7 linked regions of the Kluyveromyces lactis genome follow. The protein of the gene in region 1 binds, or shares a complex with, the protein of each later gene. Links are inferred from orthologs where the notes say so. Each region holds a gene or a part of one and is shown in the gene's direction. Other genes may lie near its edges. The genes, in order: MRPL15, MRPL39, RML2, MRPL24, MRPL22, MRPL23 and MRPL13.

Evidence for each region.
Region 2: MRPL15 (region 1) and MRPL39 share a complex: the UniProt entries of both Saccharomyces cerevisiae proteins name them as parts of the mitochondrial large ribosomal subunit. The link is inferred for Kluyveromyces lactis from reciprocal best matches to the Saccharomyces cerevisiae genes MRPL15 and MRPL39.
Region 3: MRPL15 (region 1) and RML2 share a complex: the UniProt entries of both Saccharomyces cerevisiae proteins name them as parts of the mitochondrial large ribosomal subunit. The link is inferred for Kluyveromyces lactis from reciprocal best matches to the Saccharomyces cerevisiae genes MRPL15 and RML2.
Region 4: MRPL15 (region 1) and MRPL24 share a complex: the UniProt entries of both Saccharomyces cerevisiae proteins name them as parts of the mitochondrial large ribosomal subunit. The link is inferred for Kluyveromyces lactis from reciprocal best matches to the Saccharomyces cerevisiae genes MRPL15 and MRPL24.
Region 5: MRPL15 (region 1) and MRPL22 share a complex: the UniProt entries of both Saccharomyces cerevisiae proteins name them as parts of the mitochondrial large ribosomal subunit. The link is inferred for Kluyveromyces lactis from reciprocal best matches to the Saccharomyces cerevisiae genes MRPL15 and MRPL22.
Region 6: MRPL15 (region 1) and MRPL23 share a complex: the UniProt entries of both Saccharomyces cerevisiae proteins name them as parts of the mitochondrial large ribosomal subunit. The link is inferred for Kluyveromyces lactis from reciprocal best matches to the Saccharomyces cerevisiae genes MRPL15 and MRPL23.
Region 7: MRPL15 (region 1) and MRPL13 share a complex: the UniProt entries of both Saccharomyces cerevisiae proteins name them as parts of the mitochondrial large ribosomal subunit. The link is inferred for Kluyveromyces lactis from reciprocal best matches to the Saccharomyces cerevisiae genes MRPL15 and MRPL13.

Annotation. Positions count from the first base shown.
Region 1 is NC_006039.1:1,528,070-1,530,533, reverse strand, and holds MRPL15 (mitochondrial 54S ribosomal protein mL57), read left to right. Parts: upstream 1-1,238; coding exon 1,239-1,964; downstream 1,965-2,464. Other genes in the region: RNA-dependent ATPase ROK1, read right to left, coding at 1-593; KLLA0_C17380g (uncharacterized protein), read right to left, coding at 2,459-2,464. UniProt on the Saccharomyces cerevisiae protein: Component of the mitochondrial ribosome (mitoribosome), a dedicated translation machinery responsible for the synthesis of mitochondrial genome-encoded proteins, including at least some of the essential transmembrane subunits of the mitochondrial respiratory chain.
Region 2 is NC_006038.1:66,590-68,438, forward strand, and holds MRPL39 (mitochondrial 54S ribosomal protein bL33m), read left to right. Parts: upstream 1-1,133; coding exon 1,134-1,349; downstream 1,350-1,849. Other genes in the region: TIF35 (translation initiation factor eIF3 core subunit g), read right to left, coding at 1-203; transcription elongation factor SPT5, read right to left, coding at 1,653-1,849. UniProt on the Saccharomyces cerevisiae protein: Component of the mitochondrial ribosome (mitoribosome), a dedicated translation machinery responsible for the synthesis of mitochondrial genome-encoded proteins, including at least some of the essential transmembrane subunits of the mitochondrial respiratory chain.
Region 3 is NC_006037.1:183,120-185,964, reverse strand, and holds RML2 (mitochondrial 54S ribosomal protein uL2m), read left to right. Parts: upstream 1-1,139; coding exon 1,140-2,345; downstream 2,346-2,845. Other genes in the region: KLLA0_A02013g (putative aminopeptidase), read right to left, coding at 2,518-2,845. UniProt on the Saccharomyces cerevisiae protein: Component of the mitochondrial ribosome (mitoribosome), a dedicated translation machinery responsible for the synthesis of mitochondrial genome-encoded proteins, including at least some of the essential transmembrane subunits of the mitochondrial respiratory chain.
Region 4 is NC_006040.1:1,064,461-1,067,053, reverse strand, and holds MRPL24 (mitochondrial 54S ribosomal protein bL28m), read left to right. Parts: upstream 1-1,325; coding exon 1,326-2,093; downstream 2,094-2,593. Other genes in the region: KLLA0_D12584g (uncharacterized protein), read left to right, coding at 1-1,022. UniProt on the Saccharomyces cerevisiae protein: Component of the mitochondrial ribosome (mitoribosome), a dedicated translation machinery responsible for the synthesis of mitochondrial genome-encoded proteins, including at least some of the essential transmembrane subunits of the mitochondrial respiratory chain.
Region 5 is NC_006040.1:702,031-704,854, forward strand, and holds MRPL22 (mitochondrial 54S ribosomal protein uL22m), read left to right. Parts: upstream 1-1,424; coding exon 1,425-2,324; downstream 2,325-2,824. Other genes in the region: TDA7 (Tda7p), read left to right, coding at 1-1,023; SHR3 (Shr3p), read right to left, coding at 2,567-2,824. UniProt on the Saccharomyces cerevisiae protein: Component of the mitochondrial ribosome (mitoribosome), a dedicated translation machinery responsible for the synthesis of mitochondrial genome-encoded proteins, including at least some of the essential transmembrane subunits of the mitochondrial respiratory chain.
Region 6 is NC_006040.1:210,499-212,858, forward strand, and holds MRPL23 (mitochondrial 54S ribosomal protein uL13m), read left to right. Parts: upstream 1-1,392; coding exon 1,393-1,860; downstream 1,861-2,360. Other genes in the region: protein disulfide isomerase MPD1, read left to right, coding at 131-1,117; CRN1 (coronin), read right to left, coding at 2,205-2,360. UniProt on the Saccharomyces cerevisiae protein: Component of the mitochondrial ribosome (mitoribosome), a dedicated translation machinery responsible for the synthesis of mitochondrial genome-encoded proteins, including at least some of the essential transmembrane subunits of the mitochondrial respiratory chain.
Region 7 is NC_006037.1:258,004-260,715, reverse strand, and holds MRPL13 (mitochondrial 54S ribosomal protein mL50 MRPL13), read left to right. Parts: upstream 1-1,450; coding exon 1,451-2,212; downstream 2,213-2,712. Other genes in the region: RSC4 (Rsc4p), read right to left, coding at 1-89; MEH1 (Meh1p), read right to left, coding at 420-851; KLLA0_A02893g (uncharacterized protein), read right to left, coding at 2,483-2,712. UniProt on the Saccharomyces cerevisiae protein: Component of the mitochondrial ribosome (mitoribosome), a dedicated translation machinery responsible for the synthesis of mitochondrial genome-encoded proteins, including at least some of the essential transmembrane subunits of the mitochondrial respiratory chain.

The DNA of each region.
Region 1 (2,464 bases):
TCGTTGATTATCTGTTGCAGTAGTGGGATCAAAAATGCCAACGTTTTACCAGAACCTGTGGGAGCACAAGCGATCATGTCACGTTCATGCAACAAAATCGGTATAGATTCACTTTGAATCGGAGTTGGTTCAGTGAAGTTATTTTCTATGAGGTTGTTTAACAATCTCTTATCGAATTGGAACCTTGTGATCAAGTCTTCAAAAGAACCGATGGGCAAAGGAACACTATTCCCTGAAACATTCCCTTGATAAGATTTACGTAACTTTAACGCATCTTGTTTCGTGATAATTTTCCCGGATAACTCAGTCTCGTCATCAGCATGATCTTCGTCTTCTTCTTGATTATCTTCTTGTACTTCGTCTTCACCTTCACCTTTGGTTGACTCAGACTTTACCTTATTCATGATTTTCTTATTACGGAAAAAATCCAACTCCTTAGTCAATTGTTGTTCATCTCTAGCTGGTGTACTTGAGCTGCCAGCTGTCTTACTCTTCTTTTCATTAGCCATGCTAAAGTCTGCAGACTGTGTTCTATTAGAATCACCATTCTTCCTTATGCTAGCTCCACGAGTCAAGACTCTAAAGATATCCATGTTAATTAGCGGTGCTAGTATTGGCCTGTGAGAAGTTACTTAGTAATGAGAATAAATTCGATAGTAAACCACTGTGAGTGATATAATCAATCTCTTACTACTCTCTCATCTCATCTCATCTCATCTCATCGCCTACATCTAATTGCAGTTTTTTCAATTAAAATTGATCTTACTGAAGCGTTTCTTTTCACAAAACTTAGGGTACAATAAGTGTAAAAATCGATATAAAAGTACTTCTCAAGGCATAAAGATGCAGCAAAGCTTACTTTAAGATACAGCTGGTATTAAGCCCTCATAATACCAGCCCATAATGACCATATTCCCTTGATAACAGTACCTAATGCCTTGATATTGCATGTATTCCCATCATACAAGATAGCACTTAGACACAGCGATGACCTCGTTTGGAGTGATCTGAAAAATTTTGAAAAATTTCAAAATTTGGATCGCTGCCTCGAGTCGAAAAACTACAAAGAAACAGTTTGAATCGTAGTTAAAAGGACTAAACTGTTAGAATTAAGATTCAATAATTCTAATATTTGTGTCCTGTGTAATTACAATCTGTTGATATTCGGTCGAGGAAGATTGAATTGTGAAAATACCAGACAGAAACCATTCAGACAGTATTTTTTTACTTCTGGAATAATGTCCTTAACCAAAATTGGTCTTAACTTAAGCACAAAATTCGGCGTGCGTAATGGTTCTTATCTACACGTTGGGACTAGGGTACGTGGTTTGAAAAGAGACCCAGTTGAGTCTTTGAAGAATCCACACGGTTTGCACTATGATTCTCTTGTCAAGGATGGCCATGTATCTACTGTTAAGCAAGGTTTGAATTTGGAAAAATATGGTATTGACTTGCCAGACGACATCATTACACAATGTTTGACTCACAAGTCGTTTGCCCAAGGTATTAAACCATACAATCAGAAATTGTCTATTATCGGTGGTCATTTTGTGAAATATCAAGCTTGTCTTCATTCCTTGGGTCTACCTGTTTCTGAAAGGCAACTATCACAAAGCGTACAGTCTGAACCTGTTATTAACGGACTAAATTTCGGTATGCTTGGGAAGGGAAGTTCTAAAATGTTAATATCCAAACAGAGTACGGCTGAATTTTTGCAAAGGAGAAACCTAGATAAATTAGTGTTTTGGAACAAACGAGACACTCAAAAAAGTCACAAATATAACGGTGAGTATACCGTGCTACAAACTGTGCTAAATTCTGTGGTCGGCAGTGTCTATCTATTGCACGGTCAAGACAAGGCCACCGAATACGTGTTGCATGAACTATTCAGCGACAATAGTGATTCCCTAACGAAGATATCTGAAAGTTTGTTAGCAAACAGGGATACGACCGAGAAGTTATAATATTATGTCTAATTTTACACGACAGGAAAGAAAGAGAAATGGAATACACAATAGACTTCGACATCAATAAAAAGCACTCGAGTGAATGGTCTCCATCGGAGTTGGGAAAGAGCTTTCAAAACTTGTATATATATATTTCGAAACGGAAGTTTCAATCACAGCTCTTGGTCAATGTGGTGTTTTAATCTACTCTTTCATCCCTGCTCAATTTCAACGTTTTATTATAATGAATTTACCAAAAGCATGAAAAGCATAACCTTTTAACGACACTCCATCGTCACACTTCAATTAAAAATGAACCTCGAAAGAAACGCGCGCACTGTATATATCTCATGTATCTCTAGAAATATAGACGTACATAAATTTACAACTAAATCTATCATTAATTAAATGTTAACATACAAAATAAAAACAGATTAAGAAAAGTACATAATACAATACATGTATATAAATACATATATAACTTCATAGAAGGGATGTTTTTTGCTGGTAATTTACTT
Region 2 (1,849 bases), on another chromosome or scaffold:
GGTCCTGGGGCAGCTCCCTTATCAGCACCATATTTCTTCCAATTTCTTCTCAAGGCGATGTTCTTGTTAACTTTCTCGGTGACAGTAATTTCCTTAACCTTCTGCGTAACCTTGTACTTCTTACCATCTTGGATTTTGAAACTGATGACGGTTTTGGAACCATCGTCATTCTCGATGATTCTTGGTTCAGGAATAGCTGACATGTTGTGAATCTTTGTATTATCTCCTTAAAAAAATAGGATTGTAGAAAAAATTCCTTTAATTTCTAGACGCGTGTTATACTATCAACAATTAAGAAGCCCAATTCTGATTTGAGGTATGTCAAATATCCTCCTTTCAAGTTATGGGTCTGTAGATAATCTGATCGATATCAATTAATTCTCTTTGAAGAAAAAAACTTCGCACAGATGATAGTCTCAAATTTTTGTTTCAGTTCTTTATTGAAACACGTAAATCGGATACACTTGGCGCAGTATACTCCTTTCTTCTATCAAACAGCTGGATGAAACCCTATGCACCTTCTAGGGTCACCTTACCATTACGTTTATTTTAGCAGGTAACTTAGAACTCATTTGAATTTCCATTTTTTTCTCTTCTCTTTCGCTGATTTTGCCTCTGTCTCTATGCGATGAGCTTTGGAAAATTTTCAAAATTTTCATCAGTAATGTATATCGTGTTGCACGGGTGTAACAGAGATCCGTAAGCTCCAGCACTAATTAGTTACCTTAATTATACCGTACTGTGTACACCAATCAATTCAGTTAATACCTTCTTGTTGATAAAAGCGTAGAGTAACTATATGCGAATACTTAACTTGACTTGTGAATATGTATCTGTTTCACGTGATATGAAGTACGGATCATTTTTATGTATATTGCATATTCATCAAAACGTATGTAGTGATTTGACAAAATTTTGATTATCCATTACTTCTTCTTTAGCAATGTATCCGACCCAATCAATACTGAAAGTAGTGGGAGTTCATCAATTTCTGCATAGGACGGTGTATCATCGGAAAGTATTAAGGGCAGAAAGTAATATTATCCTGCGTACTTCTCTGTCTCAAATTCAAATTCAAGGAATTTCACAGAGCTAAGGATATCATATATAAACTGCAAACGAACAGGAAAACGATGGCCAAGGCTAAGACAAAGACTACAGTTATCAAACTGATATCAACTGCTATGACAGGTGTGAGCCGTCATGTCACGATAAATAGAGCTGCACCATTAGTGACGCAGGTGAGGTACGACCCTGTAGCTAAACGTCATGTTTTGTTCAAAGAGGCCAAGAAAAGAAAGGTTGCAGAGAGGAAACCATTGGACTTCTTACGTACCGCAAGACGTTAATGAATTGTATTTAACAATTTAACCACACCATTTGCATGTATATAGAAAACACTCACACTGCAATAACTACCGTTGAAATAGACGTGATTTAAGAGTTCTATAGTAGTATCGGTTTGTAGTAAAGAAACGAAATTTTTAACTAAATTACATTTACTTAATTCACTTATTTAATTGGTTTCTGAGACTAATTTGGGCAAGACTATATATACAACATCCACATCGCGTGGAGTAATTTGGAGATAATAAGATGAACAATTGATAGGTTTGTAAATTATCGTGAGGCAATAACTTGTATGATTATTTCTAATTATTTCCACCCCACGTACTTCCACCACCTCTAGCATCCTGATTACCCCAAGCAGATCTATTGCCGCTATTGTTGTGTTGGGATGCATTGCCCCATGCGGATCTCTCTCCTGAGTTATGCTGCGATTGATTGTTACCCCAAGTGGAACTTCCACCGGTGTTTTTAGATCGTTGTGATTTATTACCACTGCCAC
Region 3 (2,845 bases), on another chromosome or scaffold:
AAAAGCACAAGTTACAAGTACAAGAATGGAACAGCTAATGCTATATATAAACGTATTCAGGACTGTTAGAGATAACAAAAAGCGTGTTTCTAATCCTTTAAAATTTTGAATTTTATTCATGATTAGCATGGAAACTTTTAGTTCATCATTAATAGGTCTATATATTTAAGATAGAGAATGCCGAGTAATCCACTGACACATCTAACGTACACTTCGACTACCCGAATATATCCGGAAATGAAGAAAGTCAAACAAACAAGAAGATATAACTTGTACTGTATTGCCTGGACAGTTTATTTTAATAAAGTAATCGATTGATCAGAATTTTCAGTGTTTGGCTAATGCTAGTCGAATCGTTCATATTTTCGAAATCCGTTTGGGGCGACAGCGGTCATCATAATCGATATACTCAAAAAAAAAACAATCCAAATGATGGTATTTCCATACAGACAGTCATTATCTTCGTCGTTCCTTTTACTTGTTCATTTCCCGACATGAAGAGGAATTTGATTTCCGTTTGAGTTCAGTAAAAAAGACAGAATACGTTGCGAACAGGAACTCCTGTTCCTGATACACTACAAATCGAATCCTTGTTGGTTATGTCTCTAACTCTAATTAAAAGCTTTGTAACGGATAATAAAGTATTCGTGATGAGATAGAAACTTACCTCAAAATTTTTCACTTTTCCAGTTATTTAAACTAAAAACCATAAAACAGAAAGAATAGTCAATCTAACCATGAGAGACTGGTCTGCCATTAGGGCACAAAATAAGTACACAAAGATTTCCTGAATCACGTGACCAAATATTATATAATCCGGGTAAATTCAGAATACGTTCATAGTGATACTTCTTGCAAAAAATTCCATTTGACGATATTCCTCTGATGGTATTGAAGCTGTTTGAAATTAGAGATCGCTTGAAAGATTTTGATATTAACAAAAATGAACAATGTAATTGCAATGACTTAAACATTTTAAACTATGGATATTGATATATATAAGGGTGGATATATCTATAACAAATCTTATTAAGATCAGAGTTATTTTATTATTTCTGTGAAGGGCAGTAGCAAAGCGGAGATATTGGTATTAGACGGTTTACCCTAAGAATCTCGTTAGGTGCTCTGGATATAATATCATGTTCAAGCAATTCAACTTGAGATGCCTGACGCCGCTTGCCAGCGGCGTCTCCTCAAGAGTTCAAGTTCCGTGGAATGTTTCGATGATAATGTCTTTGAACAATACTTCACTTGGTGGAATCAGATCTATGGCCAGCATCACTCCAACCGGGAATGAAGAACAATCTTCAGTTGACGATGTCAATGTCCATATGTTGAAAATCGTTCCTAATAACACAGATGTGGTAGCACTAGAGAAGCAAGACGAATTGTTAAGAAGAAGAAGAAAGTTGGCTAAGGAAGTTACACAAATGAAGAAATTGAAACCGGTTTCTCCAGGTTTGAGATGGTACCGTGCGCCAATTTATCCATATTTGCATAAGGGAAGACCTGTTAAATCTTTGACTCTTGCCAAGAGAGGAAATGGTGGTAGAAACCATAGTGGTAAGATCACGGTGAGACATCGTGGTGGTGGTCATAAAAGAAGATTGAGAACAGTCGATTTCAGTCGTTTCGAATCTGGTATGCAAACTGTGGAAAGAATCGAATACGATCCTGGTAGAAGTGCACATATTGCATTGATAAAACATAACGATACTGGTGCCCTAAGCTACATTTTAGCATGTGATGGGCTAAGAGCTGGGGATACCATCGAATCATACAGAAAAGGTATTCCACCATCATTTTTGAAAGAAATGGGTGGGAAGATCGATCCTGCCATCTTATCTGTTAGAACAGCTCAAAGAGGTAACTGTCTACCAATCTCTATGATCCCAATCGGATCCATCGTTCATAATATTGGTATCACTCCTACAGGTCCAGGTAAGTTCTGTCGTGCTGCTGGTTCTTACGCACGTATCTTATCCAAGATCCCAGAAAAGAATAAAGCTGTTGTCCGTCTACAAAGTGGTGAGCACCGTTACGTATCATTGGAAGCTGCAGCTACCATGGGTGTTGTCTCAAATATTGACCATCAAAACCGTTCTCTAGGTAAAGCTGGTAGATCTAGATGGTTGGGTATAAGACCAACTGTCAGAGGTGTGGCAATGAACAAATGTGACCATCCTCACGGTGGTGGTAGAGGTAAATCTAAGTCCAAAAAGTTGTCCATGTCTCCATGGGGTCAATTGGCCAAGGGTTACAAGACAAGAAGGGGTAAGCATCAAAACAAAATGAAGGTTAAAGATAGACCAAGAGGTAAGGCTGGTAGAAAGGCTAGACAATGATAAGCTTCCCCACAACTGATCCTATCTTAAATATCATCAGTTTTTGTAAACTTATTTCAATGACTTCCATCCTGTAAATATCGTAGAACTAGTTAATTTAAAGAAATAACATAACATCTGTTCAGTTACCAACTCTATTTTAAACAAAGTTTAGATTACTACATCCAGAGCATCATTTGGTCTCTTCTTCCAGCTTAAATTCCCAGTTCCCAAGTTCGAATAAGGAACCAACGACTAACCTTACATGCTGGGCCATGTGATCAAATGAAAGTCTGTCTAAAGTGTCCATCGTACTGTGAATGTATTTGTTAGATTTGTTGAACTCACTTTCAATGACAAAGGAAGCGGGGAATCCATTCTTCGTTGCACTTCCGTGATCACTACATGCATATCCACATTCCGTTTCCACGTAAGGAATATCCAAGAATCTTCTTATAATCAACTTAATAAATTCAGTTAGACCTGGCGTGGTATAATCAGTAATGACACCAACATGCTCA
Region 4 (2,593 bases), on another chromosome or scaffold:
AGGGCATGGGTTTTATTGCTACTACTTTAATATTGAACTGTGAAGAAGAATGGCAAGCGTTTTCTCTATTAACGAAACTCATGAAAGTATACGGATTAAGGGATTTATTCTTGCCGGGAATGCCTGGCCTGATGTTGAAATTGTACCAATTTGATACACTTTTGGAGGAAAATGATCCTCAATTGTATAACCATTTGATCAGGCAGGGAATAAGATCTACAATGTTTGCAACTCAATGGTTCCTGACGATGTTCGCATACAAATTTCCCCTTGAATTCGTTCTCAGAATCATGGATATTGTCATACTTGAAGGTATCGAATCGATGCTAAAATTCAGTTTAACGTTGATGTTAAAGAACAGTCGTAATTTGATCATTCTCAGTTTCGATTCTCTCTTAGACTTCTTGAAGGAGGACCTTTTCCAACACTATGCTTCTAAGGAGAACCCAGAAGAGTACGATATTGATAGATTCATCTCTGATTCGTTGGAAATCAAATTAACTCCATTGCAATTGGAGCGTTACGTGAAAGAGTACGATGAGATTCACAAGTTGGAAACGGAAAAGGAACAACAATATGAGGAACAAAGAATTAAAAACAGACAGCTTCAAAAAGAGTTGAAGAAATTAGAAAATGACTATTCGCTATTAAACAGAGAGCATATCACTATTGCCAATGAACTAATTGAAAACAGACTTCGGATGGAAACTCTTCAGGACGAAAATAAGGATTTATTACTAGAGATAGAAGATTTGAAGAAACAACTGGAACGTGAACTTTATAAACAAACGTTACCTAATCCAGATGCTGAAATTCCCACAGATTTGAAAGCAGATTTGAATAGAACAATGGAAAGAAATCTGGAAGTTATGGACGAAAATCAAGAGCTCAGAACACGCCTTGACGAATTAGAAAAAGAGAACTATGAATTACGCACAGGTAAGACTTGGACCAAAGATGCCACCAATCCAAAGGGAAATCGTCTCGGGAATTGGGCTTTCAAATCACCATGGAAGAAATGAGAAAAATTGCAACAGGGACCTCATTCACAATATCCATCCAGCCGTACATATATACATACCCTTCATACATACATGATACCGCCAACCATTACGCAGAGGTGTATTCTAATCATAAATTTCCTTATGCTTTACCATTCTCGCTGTATACGGTTTTGATCTTTCCAAAGCTTATTCAAAATTTTAGAAAATAACGACTTGATACATGCACTAAGGTGAAGAGAAGGAGCTTGAACCTAGTATGAAGCTAGTTGGTCTAAGAGTCTCTGTACGTTCACCAATAAGCACGGAGATCGTTCATCTGGAATGAAGTTTTTTCCAAGTTCCCAAAGAGGGTTTTCCACTCTTAGCCACCTCCTCAGAGAATGGAGATTAGTTGAAAGCAGACAGATCCCAACTCCAAAGACGTATCAAGTCGGCGACAGCAAGCCATTATATATCCCAAAGGAGAAGAAGGAATTCCCTGATTATCCATACGGAGAATCTCCAATTTACAAACAGAGTAACAAAGGTTTATACGGTGCGTCTTTCATCCAATTCGGTAATAACATCGCTGAATCGAAGACAAAAACCAGGAGATCATGGAGTCCAAACGTTATTAGAAAAGGACTATGGAGTGAGACTTTGAACAGAAAGATTAGTATTAAGATGACAGCAAAAGTTTTAAGAACAATTACCAAGGAAGGTGGTATTGACAACTATTTGACTAAGGAAAAGGCCGCCAGAATTAAGGAATTGGGACCTACTGGTTGGAAACTCCGTTACAGACTACTGAACTCTAAGGAAAAAGCTGCCAATCCTGTACATAAGGACGCTGAGACTGTCACAGATGCCAATGGCAACGAAGTCACCGTATTGTACAAAGTTGTTGTCGATGGAGAACCATTGAGAATTACTGCTGGTAAGCGTAAACTATTGCATACCCTTTTCCCATTGGAAAAGATGGAACACAAAGCGGATGGATTAGATCTATCGTTTAAGAAATTCATGGACCAATTTGCTACCCGTGACGTGGCAGACATCGTATCGAGATTAAAGGCCTTGAATTTCGATTTGAGTACGATTACTGTATGAGAACTGAATAGATTTTGTTCCAATTTTATATAAAAGCTTGTAAACAATGAGAAAATAGATTCTACCATGAGCTGGGAGGATGCTTGAAGACTATGCGTTAGTTGTCCGACTGACCGATGCAAGAGTTAATCACCCACTGTTCAATTGAATTGAACGGTGTGCATGTGACTGTTGCACCCAGACATTATTGACTGTTGCACCCATACATACTCAATTTCTGCTGAAAATGAGAATGTTTCCATACTAGGAAATTATTTTCTCATGTCCACCAAATCCGCTGAGCTGACGGTAGGATGCACAGACACATCCCATCCGTCTTCGTTGCTTGCTTCGAGCTGGGCAGGGCCTGTCCCGTTTCCTCCCTAAGCTGGACTGCCCGGTCTGGGCCTGGACATTCCACCAAACTGGCCGCTGGACTGCCCACTTAGACCCCAGGCTAGGCATCTCATGGTTTCCATTCACTTCCCATACCCTCCCAAACACTCCTCCGGGTAATCATC
Region 5 (2,824 bases), on another chromosome or scaffold:
ACGCAGCAGCCACATGGTATGAAGACCAGGACGGTTCTGGTATATCCAAACAGATCACATTCGGATTCGGATTCACCTGGCATAGTATCGCCATCTACAGTTTGGGTACCGCCGTCAACAGATGATTCAACGTCGCATACAGATGTAGACACGGCAATGGTGACGGTACTTGAGATGAGCTCAGGACCGAGCAACATAGTAATGCAAACAATTTATCCCGAGAACACCGCGACCCAAGAATACACATCTGTTGAGGGTACAGAAGCTACTGCCACTGTGCCTACACCGACTTGGTTAACGTTGACCACTGAAGTACCGTCTTCTGAAACTGTGGTTTATTACACACGAGATTTCATCTTTACTGACACTTCAACCACCTTTACTAAAGGACTACCGACACTTACAGTGATACCCACAGAGGCTACTTTCACTACACCTACAGGTCCAGTTGTGACTGACACATCTTTTTACGAAAGATGGCTATCTGGCGCATTGGATTCCAACTCAACATCGTCTGGATCAAATAAAGATACAATAATCGGTGGTGTAATAGGAAGCGTGGGAGGTCTGGCGCTAATGATACTGGTGATCTATTTATTATTTAGGAAGAGACGAAGGAGAAATCTTATCGAACACGAAAAGAGCTTCTCCCACGACATTGGGAGAAAAATGGGATACGACGATATCGGAACGTTTATTGCACAGTCTCAGCAAACCACCAAGACTACAACCAGAGTATCGACGACTGCTCATAATAATAACAAAGTTTCAAAAAGTTTGCCCTCAGTGCCTCCATATGTTGCAGATTCTGTCAGGAGGCCACAGACGACAAATCCATTCGACGACGAATATGTTGTATCGATTGCAGATCCAGAGTCTCAGACGCCTTCCACAACATCACTACATTCATCCTTTGTGTCATCTTCCACCGATGAGGGTACACATGACACTGAAATGTCAGTTACTTACGATGAAAACCCACAGAACGCTCACGGATATTTAACGGAACTAATCGAACACTGATCTTACCAAACTCTAATTACAAAGTTTTCAAATTTGTACTTAAATTTTCCCTTCTATTCAATATACTTCTTTGTGCATCTTCAGTTATATAGTTCATATTTAAGGTTTAATTCCTAGCAATTCCACACTAACGCTTTTCTAATTTGTGATCTTACAACCCGTCAAGATAGTCGGACTTCAATATCTTCCTCCACACAGTAGAACCATTCCTTATATCTTCATGCCCGTTCACGATGATTTATATTTCCTAACCATCGAACAAAAAAATTTTGATAATCAAACATTGTACAGAAGAAGGATTGATCAAAGTAATAAAATGCCTACAGTATAATACTAGAGGCACGTGTAAATTACATGGTTAGTTGCAGGCTCTGTCATCAGTTCAACCTATATAAAATTTAATGCTATCGAGGACAGTAACTAGCCTGTTCGGCTTGGGAAAGGCTTCCGGTGTAAGAAGTTTTCAAGCTTCAGCATTGCAGCTACAAAAATCTGCACAAGGTTCGCTATTCGGTGAAGTCACCGATGGAGTGAATCCGTTGAAGGATGACGATCCAAATAAACTATCTAATAAGTTGACTACTGCTACCGAACTGTCAGATGATTTGGATGCTGCTACCCAGCTGGCAGAGGCTAAAAAGAAAGTTACAGCAGCCAATGATACACAATTACAGAAATATATCGAAGAACAAGACCCCATGATCAAAAGTTTACCAGAATTTTTGTTACCAAGAGTTAAGAAGGAATTCTATGAACAACAGGTTAGGTTGAACGGTGGGTTTTACGACAAAAGCGTGCGCCCTAAAGATCGTTCTTTGAGATTAACGAATGAAGAATTAGAAGTGCTTGAACCTAGTGTCTATGTTAAATCTTACAGAGTAAAATCATCTATGAAGAAGGCCACACAGCTGCTTAGACTTTTGAACGGATTGGACGCTAAGAAAGCTTTGACTCAATGTCATTTCTCCGATAAAAAGGTTGCCCGTGATGTTGCCGAATTATTGGAGCGCGGTATTAATGATGGTGTGAAGCTTGGCTTGGATGCCAATGACCTATACATCTCCCAGATATGGACCGGCAGTGATGGATTTTGGCAAAAACGTGTCGAATGGAAGGGTAGAGGTAGACGTGGTCTCATTGAACACCCATATGTGCATATCAAATGCATATTGAAGACCAAGAGTGTAACGAAGAGAAGACTAGAGCACGAAGCCAAACTAAAAGAACAAAGGAAGAAACCGTGGGTTCAATTAGCAGATAAACCCATCAGAGGTTCTATGGGTGGTGTTTACAAATGGTAATGAGATATTAAACATTATCATATTACGTTTATTTCCAATGATAATGGGTGAAGATAATATACAGCAATTAAATCATCAATAATAAGGTCCTTAGATTGTCTTTGGGTTTCATCTCAAGTTATCCATGTCGGAATAGCCAAGTATTTCATATCATTTATATAATATATAGAACAAGAGCTTGTAAATAGTGAAAGCAACGCGAAATACTTCACCGCATCAAACTGTAAGGAAACAAATTTCGTCTATTTCTTCTTCTTAGATTCCGTTTTAGCTGGTTCAGTAGTTTTCTCCGCCTTCTGTTGGTTAGCGGCAGATTCCTTCAATTGGTCTTTCCTCCATTGATCTAATCTTTGTTCATATTCCCAGGTACTGTACCACAAACCTCCTTGCAACACTAAGACACCAGCAAAGACAATTAAAATAATGATATTGGAAGAGGCAACAACAGCAATACCTTGCGCCTCAGAGACTTCACCCCAGTTATGGTAAACCGCAGATTC
Region 6 (2,360 bases), on another chromosome or scaffold:
ATTTCAAAATCAAATCTTTGGGTCCACTGCTGCCAAGAAATTCAACATCACTCGAAATTGACAAAAAGAGAAGAGAGTAAACCACCTTGTTAACTTCCATCGTTGAACATTTTCTAAAGTCCTCCAGACTATGATGTACACACGTCTTCTATATGCATTGTTTTTGTTGGTCGAACTGGCGTTCGGAGCCAATTTCTACGACCGTGATGAGAATATCATGGAATTGACACCTTCTAACTTCGATAAAGTCATTCATAGGACCAATTACACCACTTTGGTCATGTTTTATGCTCCGTGGTGTGGTTACTGTCAGGAATTGAAAGGTTCCATGAAATCTGCCGGTAAAATCCTCTCTGGAATGGTACAAGTTGCTGGAGTGAACTGTGATGAAAGTGTGAATAAACAATTATGTGCACAGAACAGAGTATCGGGGTTCCCAACGTTAATGGTATTCAGGCCTCCAAAGATCAATTTGGATAACCCAAAGAAAAATTCCAATGGTGCTGCGTCACAGCATGCCACAGAAGTGTACAAGGGAGAAAGGAAATTGAAGCCCATTGTCGATTTCGCTTTATCTAGAGTGAAAAACTACGTGAAGCGGTTGAACCGTTACAGTAAGTTCGAAGAACTATTAAAATCTTCAAGAACCAGGTACGCTGTAGTGCTTATCTCAAAGAAGGAGAAGATTCCAACTTTATATAAATCTGTAGCCCTCGATTGGCTTGGGATCTACGATTTCTATTCGATCTGGGACGAGAAATTGCAAGGCGTGTCACAATTGAGTTTTGAGAACGATACAAAGAATTGGCCAAATACTGTTAAATACCTCCAATCGTTAGAAAAAAGTGAAACTGAATTACAATCGCCCAGAATCGTAGTGATAGATAGAGAAACAGATACTTATGACGAACTAGACATATTAAAAACTACAGATAAAAATGACATTGCAACGTTCCTTTCGAAATTCGAGTCAAAACCAAGGGAAGGTCCACTCAGTAAGAGACAAGAATACCTCAAATCTATTTTGAATAAATCAAAGTCAAAGAAGTCCAAGACTAAAAAGAACAAACAGAAGACTAAACTTACGAAGGACGACATAGTTCAGGATGAGTTGTAGGTATTTGTTAGTAGCTTGTATATAGATTGTGTTTAACATCCGGGTAACAGTAATATGAGCGATTGAAAAAAATTTGGCTCCAAGCTGAAATTAAACATCAATTAATCAAATCGATTGTCAAGCTAAACATATGATGAGTTAAAAGACAACTGACTGTCCCGAACTATCCCTTTACCTAAGTGATTACAGTTGAATAGCATCACTTAAAATTTAACTTTTTAGGTGCCACGTTTTAACCTGTCAGAAAGGAGGCAAAATAACAATATATTAGAAGTATGTCTCAAAAGGTAGGACATACTGGTTTGGCATTTGCCAGGATGTGGCATCATGTTGATATATCCAAGGACAAGAGAACGCTTGGTAGGGTGGCATCTCAGGTTGCTCTAGCGTTAATGGGGAAGCACAAGCCAGTGTATCATCCATCTGCTGATTGCGGTGATTATGTTGTGGTAACGAACTGCCAAGCTTTGCGTGTGACGGGGAACAAGATGACCCAAAAGACGTACTGGTCGCATACTTCTAGACCAGGTTCATTAAAGTTGACTACAATGGAAGACATGATCAGTAACAAGGGTTACAGTGAAGTTTTGAAGAAGGCTGTGTCCGGAATGCTTCCCAAGAATAAACTTCGTAAGATCAGACTTGCTAGATTAAAAATTTTCGATGGAAGTGAACATCCATACAAGAGTAATATCACCGCATTTGCTGATCAGCAACTAGAGCTGCAACACCAGAAGAAATAGTGTGGATGAATTTTTATGTGACTTCTTAATTTTTGAGAAGTTAACGGCAGCATGTGATGTAAAATCCCTGTATATATTATTATTCGATCTAAATGGTTCTCCTTAGTACGCATACAATGTCTGTCGTTTTTCACTGTACTAAACTCTTCCACTTTACTATGTACATATAGATTGTTATTTAGATATGTTAATTATCACATACAAATCACATACAAATCACATACAGAGATAGAAAAGATATTACATCGCAGTATGCCAAAGCATAATACTTTTGCCTGGAAGAAAGAACATTTAACAGAACAAAAACGAGAAGAATTAGGGAAGGATGTATTTCATATTTGATATTATTTCCCTTGCTCCAAAAGACGATCTACTTTTGCTTCCAAAGCAGCAAGAATTTCATCTTTGCGGGTATTTTCCTCGGTTAATTTATCAATATAGCTTTCCAACTTTAGAACTAATCCAGATAATGTTTCTACAGATTGTCTCAAATTGAGAGA
Region 7 (2,712 bases), on another chromosome or scaffold:
GGTGTATATCTTGGTACATAATTCTGTTTTGAATGCTTTTGTTCGGGTTCCTCACTGGGATCTTCTGATCTGCTTCTTTTCACAGCCATAGTATTTGGCGCTTTCCAGTTTGTTTATGCTTTTTTTTTTGCCTCCTCGCTTCCTTGGCTTCTTAAATGAACAAATTTCAGTATATATGCAGCAGTCAAGGCACTTACTCTAACCGTACCTAATTGGCTCCTTTGACAAACCAAAATCGTATACTGCGTATTGTTTTATATGTCTATTCTACAAAGTTTGTATATTTCAATGTTTTCAATAAAGAGAGTGAAAGTACCTTTACAAGATTGAGAAATGTTCAGACGTATATAGTGATATATCGCATTTCAACATTTGGTGAACCCATTTTGAGTGCGCTAATAGTGCAGAAACCTATTGCGTCACGATTCGATATTGGCGACCAATGGCTTGTTATATTCCACGGTAAGGTTTTTCACTAGGTTAGCGAAGTACTTTTTGTGAAATTCTTGAATCGCCTTCCTTGTGTCCTGTTTTATTTTCGAACTGGGAAGTACCGTTAAGGGTACGTCATGTAAAATTTCTCTTTGATCTTGCACATAGCTCGAACCTAAATCGTGTGAGGATGCTACGATACCGCTGTTGCTGATCATACCTATATCTATAAGCTTATCGTTCGTATTATTCACGATTTCGGTCAATTCAAGTTCTCTTGCAAGCACTCTTTCCTTCTGTCGTTGTTCCATTTCGTTATAATCTAATTGGGCTTGTGAGCCGTACCTGTCCTGTTCCTGCAATAACGGGTCATTTTCGTCGCTATCTTGACGAAAGCAGCAACTTAGCACATTTCCCATAATATTTTAAATGTTTTAGGCAGATTTTCGGTAGCTACTGATGCTAGAATTCGTTAGTAAACGTAAACTATCTCATTGCCTTGGTGGCTTTAAGGTAAAGGAACTACACTTACTATAGATGTTGATAAAAAGCACTGGGAAGCATAAATTTCATATTCTAGTATGTGGGTTGTGGGTGTTTTGAATAGGGTAACCCCGTCTTCTTTATCTATCGGGCTACATAGATAAGCAGCTTTTAGTTACTGAATACAGTGAACATCATGCAAACCAGGAAGTACGCACTTAACTCGACCCGTTGTTAAAGACCACTATGATGCAACTATCTATCGCTTCAGATCCTGTTTCTTTCTCTCTTTAGAACCTTCCCATATGGACTACATTCTTTCTATGCCCAATTGAAAAATTGAAAAATTTCATCTAAAAACTATAAACTTACAATTTGATGAAGATATTGTATATTAGAACATTAATTGAACGGTCAAGTTCTTGATGAGCTTAAGCACAGAAGTATCTTCTAGTGTTGTCTGATTTGGCGGTTGATATCAGTTCATTAAAGCGTGGTACTGTGCATATTTTTCAATCGAAAACAAAAAAGAATAATGATGCTAGCGTCTAGGTACGTGCCAGTAGTGCGTTCATCAAGACAATTCACTTCAAGTGCAGTGCGCTCTGATTTCTTGTCATGGTTCAGAAGAAATAAAAACAAAGATGCTGGTGTCGTTTCAACACAGCCAGAATTGCAAAGAGATACAAAAGAAGTTATAAATGAGATCGAGTCCGGGAAAACAACTGTAGTGAAGAGCTCAACGGTCACAAGATTAGAGTTAACAGATGATGATTTTGTTGGTATCGATTCATCTAGAAGAGAAGAACTTATTCGTTTACAAAAGTTGGATGTCGTCCCATTCAACGAGTGGTTATCTCAGGATAAATTAAGTACCGAACAACAGTTGGAACAGGTTGTTTTGGAAAGTTATCAGGAAACTTTCGGTGATGTCCCAACGGAAGAACAACTGGGGAAACCTTTCGAAAATTTGGTAAACAAGTTCAAATTCAGTAAACTGCTACAATGCAAATCAGGACACATTATCCCAGACTACGAACTTACAAGGTTACAAACTCCATTGGAATTTAAATCGTGGTTTGAGATTAAAGTACTAAGTGGTCAACTAGGGAAATTTAAGGAATCGGAACCAAACGCCATTGATTTATCGAATATCAAATTCCCACCAAACGTGTACGTGGTTCCCGATGTCAAACCATCTGTGAAAAAACAGAAGGTGAAGAAAATCTTGGAAGAGGTCGCCGCATTGGAAGCTCAATATGAAAGAGACGCTATTGAGAAAGCTAAAAGGGATTAAACTCCGAAAACAATCTCTCTTCTGGGTTGTTTATATTTACTATCGCATATCTTTTTTTCCAATGCATTTGAACTAGGCCAGTCGGCCGCTTTTCAGATCTTTGATTTGACTTTTCCTTCAATCTAAATCCTGTACATAATATAAATACTTATACATAATGTTACTATAACCATTAGTATGAGAGATCAATCACCAAAAAAAAATTATTGTATGTGAATATATATATACTTTTATATAAGGTTTGAAAAGAGCGTGGCATTGATTGTATACCTAGTGTTTTCTCGATAACGAAAATATCACGGCAATTGACGCACCGAGAGCAACAATTACTGCTGGAAGAAGGGTTTCATTGGGAATTCCAGGAATTAATTGGTTAGATGGTTTGGGATGAGAAGGCACATTTTTTTTGAACCTATTTTGGATTAATCTATTCACAGCATCTTGTGGTACAGTCTCATATCTATAATGAACCAATAAATCAATCTTATCTAGATTCATGT